Linked DNA regions of Danio rerio. The protein of the gene in region 2 interacts with the protein of the main gene of each other region in a biochemical or structural test. Links are inferred from orthologs where the notes say so. Each region holds a gene or a part of one and is shown on either strand. Other genes may lie near its edges.

Evidence for each region.
Region 1: the proteins of hltf (region 2) and rad18 form a complex in vitro, tested with the Homo sapiens proteins (2 studies listed by BioGRID). The link is inferred for Danio rerio from reciprocal best matches to the Homo sapiens genes HLTF and RAD18.

Annotation. Positions count from the first base shown.
Region 1 is NC_133181.1:44,379,052-44,384,557, forward strand, and holds part of rad18 (E3 ubiquitin-protein ligase RAD18), read left to right. Parts: intron 1-4,037; coding exon 4,038-4,219; intron 4,220-4,925; coding exon 4,926-4,996; intron 4,997-5,506. UniProt on the Homo sapiens protein: E3 ubiquitin-protein ligase involved in postreplication repair of UV-damaged DNA. Postreplication repair functions in gap-filling of a daughter strand on replication of damaged DNA.
Region 2 is NC_133177.1:28,291,833-28,297,800, forward strand, and holds the start of hltf (helicase-like transcription factor), read right to left. Parts: upstream 3,842-5,968; 5' UTR 3,687-3,841; intron 3,500-3,686; exon of another isoform or gene 3,457-3,499; 5' UTR 3,455-3,456; coding exon 3,403-3,454; intron 3,240-3,402; coding exon 3,082-3,239; intron 1,147-3,081; coding exon 980-1,146; intron 831-979; coding exon 703-830; intron 618-702; coding exon 535-617; intron 1-534. UniProt on the Homo sapiens protein: Has both helicase and E3 ubiquitin ligase activities. Possesses intrinsic ATP-dependent nucleosome-remodeling activity; This activity may be required for transcriptional activation or repression of specific target promoters.

The DNA of each region.
Region 1 (5,506 bases), on a different chromosome or scaffold from region 2:
TAACCACTAAACCACCATGCCACCAGCCCCAAATATAGACTAATGTCATGCACATATTTCAAGTAATTCTTTTTTGTAGAGTTAATTTAGCTGCTGTCATCAAATGACTTGCATGAGGGAAATGTAATGCCACGAGATGCATTGTTTAGTTAAAATGGAGTAATTGCATGAGATGTTAAATCATTTAATTAAAAATTTTACTAGACATAAAGATTAATGAATGATGCCATTAATGTGGTTTTGAACTTAATCATTTATACAGTTATTTGTCTCATCATACCAAAGTGTCAAAACAGCAGTTGTTATTAAGTTTTCTCATTAAATAAACAAAATGTTACAAAAATGTACTTTCTTATTAAAAGCACAACTGAATCAACATAGACGAGTATTTTGTTTTGTATATTGAATATTTGGTCCCACTTTATATTAAGTGTCCTTAACTACTACATACTTGCATCAAAAAATAAATACAATGTACTTACTGTGTTTATAATGTATTTGAGAACACTTGTGGTGCTTTTGAGTTGGGATAGAGGTTGGGTTATGGACAGGTTTGGTGGTGTGGATAGGTTTAAGGGTCGGTTAAGGTGTAAGGCATGGTCAATAGTGTATTTACTGATGTAATTACAAAAGTTAATTACAGATGTAATTACATGTATTTAATCAAGCATAAGTACACAATAAATGCATGTATTTACACAATAAGTACATTGTAACAAACTATTAATTCTTGTGTAAGTACATATTAGTTAAGGCCACTTAATATAAAGTGGGACCGAATATTTAAATGATGTTCCATGTATTTAAAACGAGAACATATTTGTTTGGAACGTGTAGAAATATATGGTAATACCTTAATATAATCTGCACTCACCGTCCACTTTATTAGGTACACTTGTCCAACTGCTCGTTAATGCAAATTTCTAATCAGCCAATCACATGCCAGCAACTCAATGCATTTAGGCATGTAGACATGATCAAGATGATCGGCTGCAGTTCAACCCTAGCATCAGAATGGGGAAGAAAGGTGTTTTAAGTGACTTTGAACGTGGCATGGTTGTTTTTCCAGGCAGGCTGGTCTGAGTATCTCAGAAACTGCTGATCTACTGGGATTTTCATGCAAAAGCATCTCTTGGGTTTATTTGGATGGTAGGTCAGCTGTCTCCTTACCTATCCGGGACAGTGTTTTTAAAATGAAGCCATTTCTGAAAAGGACCAGCATTAAGTTTTGTGGAAGTCATGTGACAGAACATTTCTGTAGTAAATGTAGTGTTCTGTAAGACAAGAGCTCTGTTCTTTGACCTGAAAGCAAAGCACTGTGTTTTCCACAGAATGCAATCCACCAGATAACACCTACTCTTCCACGTTGACAGTGTTATGTTGGGAGGATTTCTTTTTCAGATGGTAAAACTGAAAAGTTTGTTGGCATCAAGGCCAGCATGGATTAAACCAAATGCATGCAAATCCTTGTGGAGAACCTGTTTCACTCTGCCAGAGATATGAGTTACTTTCCAGCACAATTGCTTCACAAACTACACAGCATAACTATAAATTAGTCATTTGTATTCTAGACACAGACTCGAACGCAATTGAAAATTTGTGCTATGACCTAAAGTCACCCTCGATCTAAATTGCTAGTGGTGCAACAGTTGTATTAAAGAGTGGGCAAAAATGCATGGTATGAAACGAGTTGAGTTCTCACAATATGTTTTAATTGGATTCCCTGAAAACAGCTGATACAACACTTTTGCGTATACTTCAGTTCTGTTCAGTAATAATGTTCCAAGTTGCTGCTTTTCTTCGATGACCTGCAGTTTGGCTAATGGACTGTATTAATTGAAGAACATTGATAGTTAATATTTTGCAGAATAAATGTAATTATCTAACATTTATAGCCTTCATAACCTCTTAATCTTATGGGTAGCATTATAATGAACAGCCTCGATTGTCTTAATTTAATGTGCAATAGATATTGAAAATGCCTCAATTATCTGCCTTGTTCAAAGATTGAATAAATTCAGATCCTTCAGTTTGAATAAAATATAATATTTTTTTTTTCATGACAAAGATTTACTTTTCAGCAACACTTTACTTTAAGGGGTGTTCGTAAGACACCTTTATAATTATGACATAACATGTCATGAATGTGAATGAGATTATATGCATCCTTATGACAATTATTGTTTTTTTTTAGTGTTCAAGTGTTATTTTCTCAGTTAGGTCATGACATTGTTTTATTACAACTTGATAAACAAATGCATCACAACCTGTTTTTGTATTTATCATGTCAACTTGACATTACCAAGACAACGTGAATTGTCATAAATCTGTTGTAAACATTAACACACGTGTACATGTTAAGTTACTAGCATCTTGCATAATAAGTTGAAAAATAGTATGTACTGTTGTAGGGCTGAACAACATATTGTTTAAGCATCGATATCGCAATGTGCGTGTTTGTAATAGTCACATTGCATGATTAGATTATTTATTAAAGATTAAAAGATAAATATAGTATTAAATATTTGTATTTAATTATTTATGAAACGTTTACCATGTTAATTTACATATGATTGTTCAATTTCAGTACTTGAATACTGTTACACCCCCCAGTTTTATTTATTTATTTTTTTATTTTTTTATTTTTGCTCTATATGTTTGTAATATATTCAGGGTGTCTGCAGGGTCTTAAAGTCCTCAAATGTCTTAAATCTCAAAAACTAAATTTTAGGCCTTAAAAAGTCTTAACTTTACTGAAATATTGTGCTGTAGGTCTTGCAATTTTTTTTTAAACAGGTTTTATTTTGTGCATGTATAGCTACCCAATCAGGCCAACACCCAACCCATAACACACCATCTCAATAAAACTTTAACTTTTTAAGAGTGTAATTTTTTACTTCCATAATGGTTGAATTATTTTCCTTACAATAACACTTGTTTAAATTTTTCATGTATTTCCTGCTGAGAAAGTTGACCTGGACGGACTGTTGTGCATGCATTTAGTTTATTATAGTTTTTAAAATCTTTCGAACTTTTTTAATTTTTTTATTTTAAAGTAAGATAATTTTGAAAAAAAAATTTATGTATACAACTAGAGGTTTCTTGTTTTGACACCATGAAATATTTTGCTTTCATTTTTAATTTATTATTAAACATTAATTTTGTACTAATAAATTATAAAAAAGTGTGATAGGGCAAATTTTACATTTTTATTCTTATTAGTCTTAAAAATGAGGCGAAGCTGTGGGTAGAGCTGTAACCTCAAAGCGAGACGGTCGCTGGTTCGAGCCTCAGCTGGGTCAATTGGCATTTCTGTGTGTAGTTTGTATGTTCTACCCATATTTGTGTGGGTTTCCACCAGGTGCTCTGGTTTCCCCCACAAGTCCAAAGTCATGTGATACAGGTGAATTGCGGCCAAATTGGCCGTAGTGTATGAGTGAGAATGTGTGTGTATGGATGTTTCCTAGTGATAGGTTGCGGCTGGAATGGCATCCGCTGCGTAAAACATATGCTGAATAAGTTGGCAGTTCATTCTGCTGTGGCAGCCCCAGATTATTAAAGTGACTAAGCCAAAAAGAAAATGAATAAATGAATGAATGGTCTTAAAGATGTTTTAAAGTCTTAAATTAAACTTGCTAAAACCTGCAGAATCCTTTTTATTATAATTTATACTGATGCACTGCATAGAAAAAGACTTGATCATCCCAGTTGGTAAAAAGCTAAATAAAATCTTCCCAAAGAGAGCTTTTAAAATCATCTGAAATATCACAATATCTGATTTTTCCAATATACTGCAGCTTTATCGTCATGGCAAAGACCAAAGAAATTAAAACAGTTATGTTTAAAAACATGCTGAAAAAAACATGCTTCCCTCCTTTAAACAGCACTTGGGAAATACTTTAAGCACTTGGGCCAAGAATTTTGACTTTAACTTCAATATATAAAGGTATTTCTTTTCTTTTTTTGGGGAGGGTTGAACTATTCTTTATTTTTGCTCTTGAAGTGACCCTGGAATTCTGTGTGTTGTTGTGTATCAGCAGTGGAAGACGAAAGGCAATGCCCAAGCTGTTGTACACTTTGATAACTGTGCCAAAGCTCAAGAAGATGCTTAAAGAATGCCATCTTTCTGCTCAAGGCAACAGAGAGCAACTCACGAGACGCCATCAAGAATTCACGCACATCTATAATGCCCAGTGTGATGCACTCAACCCTAAATCAGGTATAAATCAATCCATGAAGGAACAAACAATTTAATGAATAATGGTATATACTGTAGGTAATAAAGTGCATGCTTATGATTTAATCAAGTAAATGTTCTGACATGACCATTAATGACTGTAAAATGTTTGTTGTCAATACTATATTGCTTAAAGTGTTAACTGGGAATTTACACTCAGTCCAGCTAGTGTAGGTGGTGTATTGTAATTTACGTGCTGGAGTCACACTGGGGGAAAAGAAAAATACAGTAGTTTTATTCTTCACGTTTCTTTTGAGTTACTGCTCTCCTTCTCACTGACCCTTTCAGAACGGAATTTCTCTCTTTTCATTGAGCTGTCAAAGGGTTCACAGGAAACCATCTATTTTTCTTTCTATCACCCGATGTTGCTATGGTTTCTGTTTGAAGACTGAACTTATGTTTGGATTGTATTTTTCCCCACTGTTTTGTCATGTACCATTGAGTGAATTAGTAAATTGCACTGCATTGGATGTAATCAGTTGATGTAAAAGCTGATTGTCGTGATTTTCAGAATTATTTTGGAGTTCACATTCTGTGTTCACTGGCGGTAATGATTTGTGCAACACATTTAGTTTGTGACCTAGAATAGATACTGTATATGTGGAATCCTTCACCTGTTGGTTATTAAGTTTGCTTCAAAAATGTTGGTTGTATTTATCTTTATTTTAAATGTTTTTTTGTTTAACAGCTGAAGAAATCGCCAAAGAAGTTGAAGCCAATGAGCGACTAAAGAATCAGCTGGACAGTAAACGGAAACCTGTATGTACTACTATGGATTGTCGTTTCTAAATGATAAATACTGTATTAGGGCTGTCAATCAGTTAACCATTTTAATAGAATTGCTTGCACAAACATTTCATCTGATTACACACATTTAGGTTATAATTGTATTATGTATACAATATTTTTGTTATTGAATCTAAATGGCTTTTTAGATATTATAGGCTGTGCTATTTGGATACATTTACAGCATTTATTGCATGTCCCAAATATTTTTAATGACTGCAAAAGAAAGAAGCAACACAAGGGTGATTAAATATATAATTTTCATTTTTGTGTAAACATTTTTGTTAATTTATATGAGACTATAACATGATTTAGTTTAATGAAATAATATAAATTATGAGATCAGGTCTATGGGATGTTTCATAATTGGTCCATTTGTCCAAGAATGAAAAAAAATGTTCCATTTTCTGATGAACAAATATAGTAATTTGCTCTATTTTTATAAATTTCCATTGTAATTTCCATCCATGCATTTATGGTAGA
Region 2 (5,968 bases):
TACACTGATGGGCTAAAAATCTGCAGACTTCTGCGCACAGATTCCGTGTGGGCCTACCGAGGATTATTAACACAATTTATGGAGGCAGCGTGTAAATTTCCTTACCACAGCGTGAGGTCATTTAAAATTTCAGACTCAGTGTACAATGAACTTTAATCTGCTTCATACTACAATGATAATACTTTTTAAAATTTTTAGCTCATACATGAAAATGTTTTCTGCAGGAGTCCATTAAGATGTAATAAAGACGACAAATCTCATGATCCCATGATTTCACACTCAGTCACAGGGTCATCAAACTACACCTTTGTATGTAGTAAATATGCATTATACATACTGTGCCTTTAATGTTTGATTATTTAAACATTTTTGCTGGTACTATGTCAGTATTTGAAAGAAAGAAAGAAAGAAAGAAAGAAAGAAAGAAAGAAAGAAAGAAAGCTGAGAACCACTTATCTATATTTTACCATTCTAAAACATAAAAAAATGTATTAGCTTTTTATGACTAAAAGAAATGTGTCACAAAAAATGTACCTCTTCAGCAGACAAAGGAATGGCAGATAGTTTTGTGGATAATCCAAGAAGATCTCTTCCCAGAGATGTTTGTGAAGAACCTCCTGCAAGAACAAAAAAAAGGTCAATAGCACAAACATAAAGTGTTCAACAAAGAGCAATAACCAACAAATAAACTACTGAATGAACCTCTGAAGTCCAGATTGAAACCAAAGCCTATCATCAGATTATTCACAACCTCCCTGTTCTCCTCTTTACCCCAAAAGGTGAGAATCACTGGCATAGAGAACTTATTTTTCTCTCCGTAGGGCACAATCCTATTAAAAGATCAAATATAAAAGAAGCTGTTGCAATTGAATTACAAAAAGTCCATTTATTTAATTCATTTATTAAAAAACATTTTAAATAAACTTGAGAAATTGCTTTAAACGTGTGTAAAAAATAAAATAAAAAAACAGCACAGTACCCCTCCACCCTGGCCAGTTTGTTGTCCATAATGTAGGCCATTGCAGCTGCCAGCTCTTTCTTGATGTGCCCCACCTGACTGCCATACACATTGGCAACCATCACTGCATTTCGGTCATAGGGATTGTGCGGCTCTCTCACCAAGGATACCATCTCTCCTTTATTGACCTACGGCATGTGTCACAATCAAATATTTTTTTTTTGAAACATAATCAGTCATATTAGATTCTATGTTTTTATTTTACCCCTAGAGGGCACTCTATACTGCATGGTGAGATGGGGTACTACATAGATCACTTGTTTCTCTCAGTTGATGAAGGGGTAAGAGATATTGAGCAGGTTCAGATGTCGGGAGAATAAATTTGATATGTAAATAAAGCCATGTTGTGCTGCAACATATAATTCTGATTTTGTTTTATCAATCGTTGTAACTTTATGCAAGGGGAACCTGACACAAGATGTACTTAGCTCGATGCCAACCCTTTTATAGATGAATTAATAGTCAAATTTTAAGAAAAAAATCATGTTATGAAAAGGTTACAAAATGTTCTCAGATTAACAGGAAAGTTCACCCAGAAATTAATTCTGTCATCATTTACTCAACTTCACTTGTTCCATAGCTTGTTTGAGTTTCTTCTGTTTAATAGAAAAGATACACTGAACACTTATTAACTTTCATAGAATGCTTTGATTCTATTATGGATGTAAGTGGCTGCCTTTTTTTCAACGTTCTTAAATCTTAATTTGTGTTCATCAGAAGAAATGTACAAATTCTTAAAACCACCTAAGTAAAAGAAAAGGGTGAGGAAATGTTTATTTTTGGGTGAACTATCATTTTAATATATGTTTTTTTTTTCTGTTTCCACTTGCAGATTGTGTGGTTAATGTTAAAATAGACTGATACACTATCAAAAATAATTATATTAATTATAATTATTGCTAACTCATGGAATCTTATTGTAAAGTAGGGCTGCACAATATTAGAAAAATCTGATATTGCAATTTTCTTTTTTTTTGCAATAAATATTGCGATATGAATATTTTCTGGGGAGTCTAGCATTATTCAGGTACAGAAATTAAACAATCAAAATGCAAAAAAAATGCTTTTCTTAATTTGCTTTGTCTCATTTCTAGTCCAAATATCTAAAAATATTTAAATTAAGTAAATAATATTGTTTTGTTTTCAACTTCAGAAGAAATAATGAGTTCTTCCTCAAAACAAGACAATTATCTGCCATTGAAACCATTGAGGTGAATAAAACAATCTTATTTTCTTGCTTTAAAATGTGGATAATTTGGAAAACAAGAAACAAGACAAAAATTCTAAGTGAGAAATTTTTTTTCTTTTTTGCATAAATTACTTATAAATACAGTAATTAAATACAATTCTGTAGCTCTTGGTCAACTATAATTCAGACTCAAAATTGTATATATTGCGATGTGACTATTGCGGATGTGCACATTGCGATATCGTTGCTGAAGCGACATATTGTGCAGTTCTATTGTAACAACTACCCAAAATTCTTGCAAGCAGGAATTGTCCAAGAACAAATAAATACATTTAAAAAGTGGAATATTTGCTTTATAGACAGAACCAGACAAAATGGTGTTAACATAATAATAACAATAATATAATAACTTGTAAATAACTTGTAATAAAATGATTACATGTAAACATGTAAAGTGATAATCCTATTAAAAGCCTATTATCAAATACTGTATAATTTCATGGTAGTGGGATTATTAAATATATCAGTGTTTTTGTTTTTTTGTACAGATATCTGGACACACAAATCTGCATTGAGGTAAAGTTGGTTTTATATTTGTACATTCGAACTTTCTTCTCAGTAATATAATTTCAGAAAACTATTCTTTGCAAATTCTTAACAGGGAAATTATATTAGCAGCCAATGACTATTAAAGTCCACTGTTGACAGTCAGTTAAATGGTGCTGTTTTGAAGTCATTCTTGCATGATATTTCAGACCGAATATTCAAAGCGTTAAGTTTTCACTGCTTAAAAATGAACAAATGTACAAATATAAAACCAACTTAACCGCAACCAAATATGCTTTGATTTATTGTAAAATGCAACAATTCATACCGCTCCAGTGTAGTATCGCAAACCAACAATTAAGCCTTGAATTGAACCAAACAGAACATTCCCCTCTGCCTCCAGCTCCTGTCCTGCATCTTCTGTTAAATTGGCAAGTTCTTGTGATAAGGTCATTGTGCTGCCCACGTCCATAAAATCTATGAAAGCTAATGGTGGATGACAAACAAGAAAACGTATATTAAACTTCTGTTCAAACATAATGGGAAAAGTTTTTCAGTGTAACGTTAATTAATGTAATTTAGCATATAGTTGGGACCACTGATATGATAAATTAATATTCTCATATGTAGATATTTGTGTTTTTATCACCGTATCTTGGCGGGGTGCTGCTGGAGGCTGTTGAGCTGCTTGATGACTGCATGTCTGCAAATCACAACATAAACACCAAACTTCACTGAACCACGTCCTAACAACAAAAGCAACAGACAACAAACAATTAAAGAGCAAAGCCAATGTACCATAAAGCAGAATCAAGATACCAGTTACTTAACTTTACATATAATTCACAGTAAAACGTCTCCATTCAGCTAGAATGCCAAGCAAAGCTGTTATCGTGGATTAAGTTAAAATGATGAGCTGCAGGCCACACCCACCTCTCGAGCAAAGAGTCCTTTTCAGTAATATCTGACTGTAAATGAGGCCAACTGTAAATACTGCATGGGCGATGAATATCGCTGCGTTCACGGGTTTATTGTAGGTCAGTTATCTAATTCTGAATACAAGTCTCGCTTTCGTGACGCCAGTGAGTGGCGCGAGTGTTTTGAAACCACACGTCTATTTTCGGCGCCAGCAGTCATTCTACGTCATTGTCACATGAACCAATCAGGACCGACTGGTGGCGGTAAAACAAACTCAACAAAAGTCTTGTAAACATTGTTAATAATCTCTTTATTATTTATTGATAACATATCGCATACACAAACAAAAAAATGCTAAGTCATCTCTCACATTAATTGTTTTTTTTGTATCGATTTTTTGTATCGAACTGTTTTTTGTATCGAAAACAATATATTTATTTTTATTTACATTCGTTTATTTTGTAACATTGTTATATTCGTTTTTTTTATGAACACCTTTTATATTGTTTTGTATGTATGTTCCTCATGGTTTGTGCAATAATAATAAAAATCCCTCAAGGTTTACTCACCCGCCAAAAGAGAGAGAGAGAGAGAGAGAGAGAGAGAGAGAGAGAGAGAGAGAGAATGGCGGCGGTCGTCAATACAGAAATCCTTTGAATATTATTATTTTTTTAGTTTACTGATAATTGCACCATTTGTAAAAATGAGTGTGAAGACATTTGTCACTTGTTATTTCATACAATGTATCATCATTGTATTGGTATTGTACAGTAGCTTAAGTTCATATTACTTTTCCGATGTTAAAATGAGTTGTAATTTGCACCTCAAGGATGGTATTTGTTAATTTCGAAAATCAAAACAAGTCGTTGAAAGCCACTATAAATTTTCATTCTATACTTGCTAGGAAATTTTACTTTCACAAACAGAGGTTTCGTTAAAAAAACACAAACTCTTACAGACTTCTTATGTGAAATAGAACATTTAATAAATTCAATTAGATTGATTGATAATAAGAAATGTACTTCTTTTTTGCGTAAACATGATGAAATCTTTCATGCTTGATTTTTTATCTTTTTATTGCATTATTATTATTATTTTTATCTACTTAATTTTTGGTTTTGCTCTTAATACTGTTCATCTAGTGTTGATATTGTAAGAACTATTGTCTTTTCCTGTAGTCTATATAATATGCAGTTTCTTGATGTCACTAATAATAATAATATTAATAATAATAAAATGACAATTTATTTAATAATAATAATAATAATATTTTTATGATTTCTAAATACTACTAATACTAATACATATTTTCCCTTCATATTTATTTTTTCTTATAAGTAATTATTGTTTTACAAAGAAATTTAGATTTATAATTTTTTCTATTAACATAATGACTTTTATTTATTACGTATTTAATTGATTTATTTTATGATTTATTACTTATTTGCTTTGATTAATTTTATCATGTATCAATTATATTTAGACATGTATTTATTTGTTACATTGTTATCCGTACTACTACATTCATTCATTCATTTTATTTTTGGCTTATTCCCTTTTATTAATCTGTGGTCGCAACAGTGGAATGAAGCGCAAATTCATCTAGCACATGTTTTACACAGCGGATGCCCTTCTAGTTGCAACCCAGTACTGGGAAACAGCCATACACTCTCACAAGCACACACATAAACCAGGGCCAATTTATTATTCAATTCACTTAAACCGGAGCAGCCGAAGGAAACTCACGCCAACACAGGGAGAACATGCAAACTTCACACAGAAATGCCAACTGGCCCAGTCAGGACTCGAACCAGTGACCTTCTTTCTGTAAGGCAACAGTGCTAACCACTGAGCCACAGTGTCACCCTAATAATAAAAATAATAATGATGATAAAAATGATATAGATATTGTATATTGTTATATATATTATTATAAGTTATTTTTATAATTTATTTTAAGCAAAGTAACCAGAAACTTTATTTAAACATATTTTAATATATAAATTAACTAAAATCGTCAGACACATTAAATAAAAAAAAGACAAGCTTGTATGGACAATACTTTATTTTTAAAAGATACACTTATCAAGAAGTGATATGAAACAAAATCATTCTTGCGGAAGGAAACAACATTCACAGTATACAAGTTGTTACAAATTGTAATTGTAATTACAAATTAGTACTTGAGAAAGACAATTAGGGAAAAGGTGTTAAACAGTCAACAAGTCAATGGAAAAGAAATATAACCTACTTCTGTAAAAATCCAATGCAGATTAAAACGAAAGATTTGGCATTGA